Linked DNA regions of Tribolium castaneum. The protein of the gene in region 2 purifies or fractionates together with the protein of the main gene of each other region. This does not show direct contact. Links are inferred from orthologs where the notes say so. Each region holds a gene or a part of one and is shown on either strand. Other genes may lie near its edges. The genes, in order: nuclear RNA export factor 1 and E3 SUMO-protein ligase RanBP2.

Region 1 (3,924 bases), on a different chromosome or scaffold from region 2:
CTGCTCCAATTTGGATGAAGCACCCTTAGGGACATCCCTTTTTCGTTTTTTATCTTTCATTTAGGGCGGATTTTACAATCGTAGGATTACTTTATCTAAGAAATAAATTTTGAAAAATACATTGTTATAACAATTGTAACCATAGTAATTATACTAGAAATAAATTATCTGGGGTTTATCTGACGATTATAAAATCCACCCTTGATGAAACGTTGAAACTCATTCAAGTATTTAAGCAAAAATAATTTATTATGTAAATATGTTGTAAATATTTTATTATGTAAATAAAAAAAGAAGAAATACTGCTTTATTTTGAATTTTTTTCTAGGAACGGAATTATAACTATGTTACAATTGTGAATTAGTGGGATAAACTCATTCAAGAAGTATTTGGGCGAAAAAAAAATTATTATGTAAATGAAAAAGAATAAATACAGCTTTATGCTGATTTTTTTTCTAGGAACGGAAATTGATTTAGTCACAAATTCTGAGTTAGTGATTTTTGTACCGTATTTTCAGCCACTTCTCATTTCCTAACACATTATTTATTTGAAAAAAAATAGGATACAATAGCTCCAGTATTTTGTGCCCTCTTCAGTTTAATTCAAAAACTTACGAAAATCTAATTTTGTACAAAGTGTTAAACAATCAAAATTTATTGAAGTTTGTTATTTTGGGAATTAAACCTCCGAGGAATTTTGCAACCGATCAGACAGTTGTTACACAATTTCAAAGTAAGACAAGCTTCGTAAATTTAAAACTAAAACAGCATTACACGATCAACAATTTATATTACTCCTGCATTAAACAACAAAACTAATAAATTTAGAATAAATCGCCACTGAAGAGCATATAATTTTTCAATTTTTTAACGGTATTATTTAGTATTTCTTTTCATTATTATGTCTTGTATCAATTCCATAAGATTACTACATAAAACAAAAAAATATAATAATTATTGTACTATGAGGAGTCATTGATTGTTTAAGGTGCAGAAAAACAAGACAATCTGCTTGATTTACAAGCATTTTTGCCAAATTACATACACATTTAAGTGTTCTGGTCCACTCCTTGTAGTTCTTCTGTCTTCTTAAACTAACTGCATTGTTTATGGACAGCAAAATCTTGCAATGCTTGTCCAGCTATCGCTTTACGAAGCTTCGTAACTGCTGTAAGGACGCACCTTTGAGAAACCTCCTCTCACTTTGATAATACAAAACAAAAATTATGTAATCCCATGGAAATGTTTGTATGTGATTTTTTTTTATTTTTATACACTTCAGTGACTTAATTATAGTCAAACAATAATATTAAAAGGTTGCCAAATGCAGAATTCAGCCACAATGCAACGAAGCCACATGTAATGCTACTTAAGTTTTAAACAAATTATCGCGAAAATTTGGGACTTTGAAATTTGCGTAACAACAAATTTCGTTAATAATTTTCAAGTACTTTTATTCCATTGTTGGCAGAAAACCTCTTTTTTATTCAAGTGACAATCTCCGATAACCAGTCACCCTCATATGCATTCACGTTCATAACATGATGACTACAAAAAATAAATTAGTTCAACATTACCCAATGTACGCCTCTTGGTCCTTGTATTTGTTGCATAATGGATTTCCATTTAAAACAATATCGACGATAGGTAGTCCAATAAAAGGGTCCAACATTGACAGATCCTTAAACTGAATCCCCAAATTTACAAAATCCCCGATTTTGGGCAACAACATTACCTTATTATTTCCTAGATGCAAAATTTTTAAATGGGGCAGTTTCTCATTGGTCTTCTTTAAATACGACAAGTTTGCTATTTTGTTATCGAATAAATTAATCGCTTCAATTTCTGGGATATTCTCCGCGATTATTTCCAAAACTGTTAGAAAAATGATCGGTTTGAACAGTACACAGAAATTGTCTTGTAGGTCAGGGTCGGCGTGGAATTTCGTTAAATCGAGCGCTTTATTAGCGGCATTGTACCGCTTAGCCATCGTTAATTTAATTTTCTCCTTCATCTCACTATTAACGTCAACATTTGGCATCCCATGACTGACCTTAATCAGCAATTTAAACCCGTCGGGCATTTGAATCTGGCGATCTAAATCGTACAGCTTTTCCGCGGCTTTAAACTCATCCATGTAAAAAGTGGCAGTTGTGCCGTTTACACTCCACTGGAGACAAAAAATCAGTCAAAAACCCTCACACAAACAAACCATTACCGTAATTGGCCACAAGGGCAAAGGTTGGATCCGCTCGAGCAGCGTCTTCAAGACGAACGCCTTCTCGTATTTATTCCCAAACGGCAACTAGCAAAACACGTGTAAAACCCCCAAAAAGCCTCACTTAATACACTTACTGTCACGCGGTACCAACCGAAGGGGCTCTCCAAAAGCCGCCGTTTCTTGTGATTGGGCACGGGCGAGTCCCCGCGACCGCCCCGTCTGCCTTTAAACTGCTTCCGGTTGAAGTTTCGCCCGCCCCCGGACGAGGCCCCCATGTCAATGTCTTCATCTTCCAGGTACGCCCTACTCGCCGCTGCCCAGTTTCTATTGTCCTTTTTATACTTGTTTGACTTGAAACTCACTTTGCGGGTCTCGCCACCGCCGCGAAAATCATGCTCTGGCAATTTACTGCGTTTTAAACGAATCGCGTGGAGTGTGCTGGGGACTTACCACTGTATTGGCTTCTCCACGACGGTTTGTTGTATTTTCCGCCCTTTGAGGCCATAGTAGCGTCTCAATTACTTACTAGCACTTAACTATAACTATTATTGTTTTTTTAATAATTTTTTTGAGCCTGATTTAACACCACTTCACTTTCGACAAGTAAACGCCATTGATACGCGCTGCCAACAAGGCGAGGCCAAATTCCCTGAGAAAATCACCGACTTTTGAATAGTAGAGTACAGGAAATTTGTAAGGTTCTGACTTGTTTTTTAAGACGCCAAATATTCTGGCCCAGAAGTAACATTTTATACTCTACTCTAGATTCACTTACAGGGTGATTCAATGAAATGCAATGGTGGGGAAAACATTTATTATAAAATTTCTCAACAAAACGTATAAATGCTTCAATCAACGTCCATCCTATTAACAGTAATGTCGGTGCGCTGGTTTAGAATCTTAACGGCCATTTTTGGGGTGAAGCTGACCACCCCAACCTCCTTGAGGGCTCTCCCGCGGGAGTCCTCAATACCTGTGGCCCCCTCAAGAGCCAAGAGAGTCTCTCGTAGTAGCAAAGCGGACCCTTTAGTTATATTTAAAAGATTGCAAGCTTCAATCAGTCTGCAACAGTTCTTATTTTCCACTTTACCGACTGAGTAAATAACTTACTGGACGAAATACGTTTCGGGCCTTTCGGTATATTGCGAAAATAACGGCAGTAAATTCCTTGTTACGTCATACTTTAACTGCAAAGCGCCTCCAGTGTTAAATCTATTATCAAGGACAAGATCCTCAAAGAGGTAATTATCTAATTGTTGCGCAACCGAGCGCCAAACTATCGTAAAAAGTTTCGAAGCTAGAGTTTTTTGCAGTTGGTGTAGTCGTTTAGCCACGATTTCGAAAATAGGGCAGGCTGTGGGTGTTAAAGACAGGCCTTTGATGTCTTTACCGACATTCATAGAGGACCACCTTTCCCTCCTGTAGGCTTTACCTTGTGACCTGACTTCCAACATGACATAATCTGATAAATTAAATAACAAGTCGCGTCTCATGTGCCTATAGAGTGATAAAGTTTCGGCAAAAACAGTTTCACCCTCAATATCCGTGGGGTCAAAGTCGTCCGAATCACTTGACGGGCTTGTGGGTGCTTTGTAGTCATTCAACTGGCTTTTGTAGTAGTATAAATTCAAATAGTGCTGAAACACTTGCATAAGTATAGATAGTGCCATTTGATTGGCTGAAAGTCTGCGTTCAGCCAATCA
Region 2 (3,824 bases):
GGCGAAGAAAATTGCGAAGTCTTGTTTGAGAGCCGAGCGAAAATCCTCCGTTTTGACACGAGTGAAGAAACGAAAGTATGGAAGGAGAAAGGAGTTGGTGTTTTCAAACTGCTTAAGGACGCAACAACCATCAGACTAGTCATGAGGCGAGACCAAGTCTTGAAAGTGTGTTGTAACCACCAACTACTCAAAAACATGGAATTTAAATTCATGACAAATAATCCCAAAGCACTGACTTGGTGCGCGAAAGACTTCTCTGAAGGCGTCCTTAAACCGGAAACGCTGGCTATAAGATTCAAAACAGAAGAGCTGGCTAATTCGTTCTTGAAAGCCATCCAAACCGCTCAAGAGTCACTCGATGAAAATAACTGCGTGTCGGGTAAAACCCCGAAAATCGAATCTCCGGTTAAACCGACCGGTTTCGGCGATAAGTTCAAACCGGCGAAGGGAAGTTGGGAGTGTAAAAATTGCTTCGTTGTGAACGACGGCAAAGCCAACTACTGTGTGGCTTGCGAGACACCTAAAAACGACACAGTTCCGAAAAAAAGCGAGAGTGACGCTTCTGGAGCTGCGTTTTCTTTCGGAGTTGGCGTGTCCAACTCCTGGGGCAACGCCTTCAAGCCTAAGGAAGGTTCATGGGAGTGCAAGACTTGCTACATCAGAAATGACGCCGATAAGACACACTGTATGTCGTGTGAATCGCCCAAAGACGACACAATTCCGAAAAAAGAGCCCGAAAAGGGGGTGAATTTGGACACTGGTGGTTTGAAATTCACGTTCGGGGTTCCGAAAACTGCCGACAAGCCAACCACCGGCTGGGGCGATTTATTCAAGCCCAAGGAAGGGTCTTGGGAGTGTAAGAATTGTCTAATCCAGAACAATTCCGATGTCGTTTATTGTGTGGCATGTGAGAGTCCGAAAGATGATACAGTTCCGAAAAAGGAAGGTCCGAAAGGTGTCAATTTGGACACTCCGGGTCAGAAATACACTTTCGGGATTCCTTCGACTCAAGCCGGAGCTAAAGCCACGTTTACTTTTGGCCAGAGTAGCATATCAACCGAGAAACCGTTCGTTTTCAAACCCAATGTCAGTGTGGAGAAAAAAGACACTTCAGCGACTGAAAAATTCGTGTTTGGCTCGCCACAAAAGCACGATTTTGAATTCACTCCGCGGTCACCCAGACGTATCAGCAGCGGCGGTAAAGACGAGGAGTCTGATGCCAGTTACGTGGAGGAAGAGGCTGATAATATTTACTTCAAACCGGTGATTCCGCTCCCGGATAAGGTTGAAGTGAAGACGGGTGAGGAGGAAGAGGACGTCTTGTATTGTCATCGAGCGAAGCTTTACCGTTTCGTGGATAAGGAATGGAAGGAGAGAGGAATCGGTGATTTGAAGATTTTGAGGCGGAAAGATACCGGCAAATTAAGGTGAGTTTTGTGGTAAAAAACGTATTTTTTTAATTAGTAAAATTGCAGGGTTTTGATGCGGCGGGAGCAAGTGTTTAAGATTTGTTTGAACCATATTCTCACTACTGACATTAAGTATTTGCCCAAGGATGATAAGACATGGCTGTTCCATGCGTCGGATTATTCCGAAGGCGAAATAACCGAAGAACAATTTTGTCTTAGGTTTAAGAACGCTGAAATTGCTCAGGAATTTATGAAGGCTGTGAACGATGCTTTGAGTGGAGCGTCCTGTGATACAGGTAAGATGCCAAAGTTTTGCGATGGAAATTGTAATTTAGTTATTTCTGTCGCTACTGTCACGATTTTTCTTATGGCGTCGTATTATTTGTACAGTAGACGGTCAAGTTGAATAATTTACGATCTGAGCTGTGAAGAATTTGCTCATTTTTATTTATTTCATTCTAGATCTGGGTTTTGTGATATTTAAACTTATTAATGTGATGTTTTTGTAACTATGGTGGTAAATCTATTAAATGAATCAGAATTATCGGATTGAAATGAATAATTAGGTAATAAAGATTAGAGTTGAATTTTTTTAATTAAATAATTGTGCACATGTGTGTATTCTTGAATAATATTTACAGCTTTTGATATTTTTTTATAAATTATTTATAACATTATGTTTAAACATTATTACTGACTTAATCAGTGGTTTGAAGGAATACTAAAAGTTTTGACCACATGTAATTTTTAATCATTTTTTAGATTTATCACTTCTATTTACTTTTTACTTGTTCCTCAAGATTTTTTATAAAGATATTTATTTTCAGCTTTAAAACATTTTAAGCAAATATTTTTAAATTTCAATTTGTCTTATTTTATCAGTTGTGTGCAATAATAATTTCGTAACATGTTAAAAGAAACTGCAGTAATTTTTTTTTTCAAATAAACAAAAGTTTAATAAAAAGTAATTTTCATATCAGACGTATGTGCATGCTTCTTGAGCTTTTTTTCTAATCAGGCTTTTATTTTTTATACCAGTACCGGCACAGTATGTTCCTAACAGTGATTCAATAACCATTAACAAAACTGTCGTAGCTTAATAATGTCTTAACAATGTGATACAACTCGCTAAAAAATTGGTAAAGTGTGAGGACGTTAAATTTTTATTATATCATCGTCAAAACACTTTACTTTTTTTAGTTTTTGTTACCCGTGGTATTGTTGGTTTTATTTGGTACATTTATAAAGGAATAAATAAAATTCGTGCATAACAATTGGATTTTTATTTCACCAAATAATCCCAATAATCACCTAACACAGCACTAATTACTACTAATCATAGGTAAAAGTAGTCGTAAATGTTATAAATCTTCATTTATGTAAAATTTTGTAGGCAAGAAAATTGATGAAACATCCGAAGGGGAAGACGTGGAATTCATTTCCGAGACAAAAGTAACACCAGAAGAAGAAAAAGAAGCTCTCAGATTAATGTTGCCTCCAAAGTTTATGTCTTATCGTCAATTACCCGACTGTCAATGCGCGCAGTGCAAAAAAGACGACGAATATTTGAAAGATCTCTTCAAAACGAGCGACCAAAAGTCTACCGCAACCCCTCCAATCAGTCAAATTTTCAAAAATTCGAATACGCCATCTATCAGTACGTCTTCTAGCACAAGTTCGATTTTCACGACACCGAAAGAAGAAGTGTTCAGTTTTAAAGCAGCTACTGAGACAGTATCATCGCCTGCCGATAGCTCGCTCACTCTTAAAAGTCTTCTAAGCAAACCGTCACTTCTGGTCACTCCTGTAACAACTTCCAGTGGAATATTCAGTTCTGCCAACAATTCATCGAATATCTTCTCTTCTCCTGCCACCTCAAGCAATTTATTCGGCTCAAAATCGCCCTCGATTTTTCAAACGGCCAGTGAAACCAAGAACGAATCGTTCACATTCGGGGCTAAAACACCCGACACTACCTCTTCCAGCATTTTCGCGCCGCCAACAACAGCTGCGAAATCAACCGGAAGTATTTTCGGGTCCGGTAGTGTGTTCGGAAGCGGTGGCGGAAGCATTTTCGGCTCGAAATCGACCCCAGTTTTCGGTTCGGGACCGGGAATTTTCGCTGCTACGACCCCAACGACCACAGCTCAGTCTAGTGGAATTTTTGGGGGTGCAACCACTACGAGCAGTTTTAAAACCACGGGTAGTCTTTTTGGTACTCCGGCCACAACCACAACGGGGAGTATTTTCGGGGGTTCACCTGCAGTTTTTGGTAAAGGTACAAATAAGCCGATATTTGGAGGAGGCGACAGTCTGGCGAAAGCGACCGAATCGCCCGTCAGACCTGTTTTTGGTGCTGCGGTTGCGCCAACCGACGTCAAAACAACGAATTTGAAGGATGAGGATGCTCCGGTT

What was found.
Region 1: the proteins of E3 SUMO-protein ligase RanBP2 (region 2) and nuclear RNA export factor 1 purify together in Drosophila melanogaster (affinity purification with western blotting; 3 studies listed by BioGRID, with this or other methods). This does not show direct contact. The link is inferred for Tribolium castaneum from reciprocal best matches to the Drosophila melanogaster genes Nup358 and sbr.

Annotation. Positions count from the first base shown.
Region 1 is NC_087399.1:3,671,132-3,675,055, reverse strand, and holds the start of nuclear RNA export factor 1, read right to left. Parts: upstream 2,864-3,924; 5' UTR 2,727-2,863; coding exon 2,672-2,726; intron 2,619-2,671; coding exon 2,356-2,618; intron 2,306-2,355; coding exon 2,219-2,305; intron 2,171-2,218; coding exon 1,736-2,170; intron 1,688-1,735; coding exon 1,578-1,687; intron 1-1,577. Other genes in the region: Rint1 (RAD50-interacting protein 1), read right to left, coding at 3,070-3,283, 3,332-3,858. UniProt on the Drosophila melanogaster protein: Mediates the export of the majority of mRNAs from the nucleus to the cytoplasm. In ovarian follicle cells, plays a role in transposable element silencing regulation by enabling the nuclear export of flamenco (flam) transcripts and subsequent piRNA biogenesis.
Region 2 is NC_087394.1:28,918,429-28,922,252, forward strand, and holds part of E3 SUMO-protein ligase RanBP2, read left to right. Parts: coding exon 1-1,427; intron 1,428-1,475; coding exon 1,476-1,705; intron 1,706-2,802; coding exon 2,803-3,824. UniProt on the Drosophila melanogaster protein: E3 SUMO-protein ligase. Component of the nuclear pore complex (NPC), a complex required for trafficking across the nuclear envelope.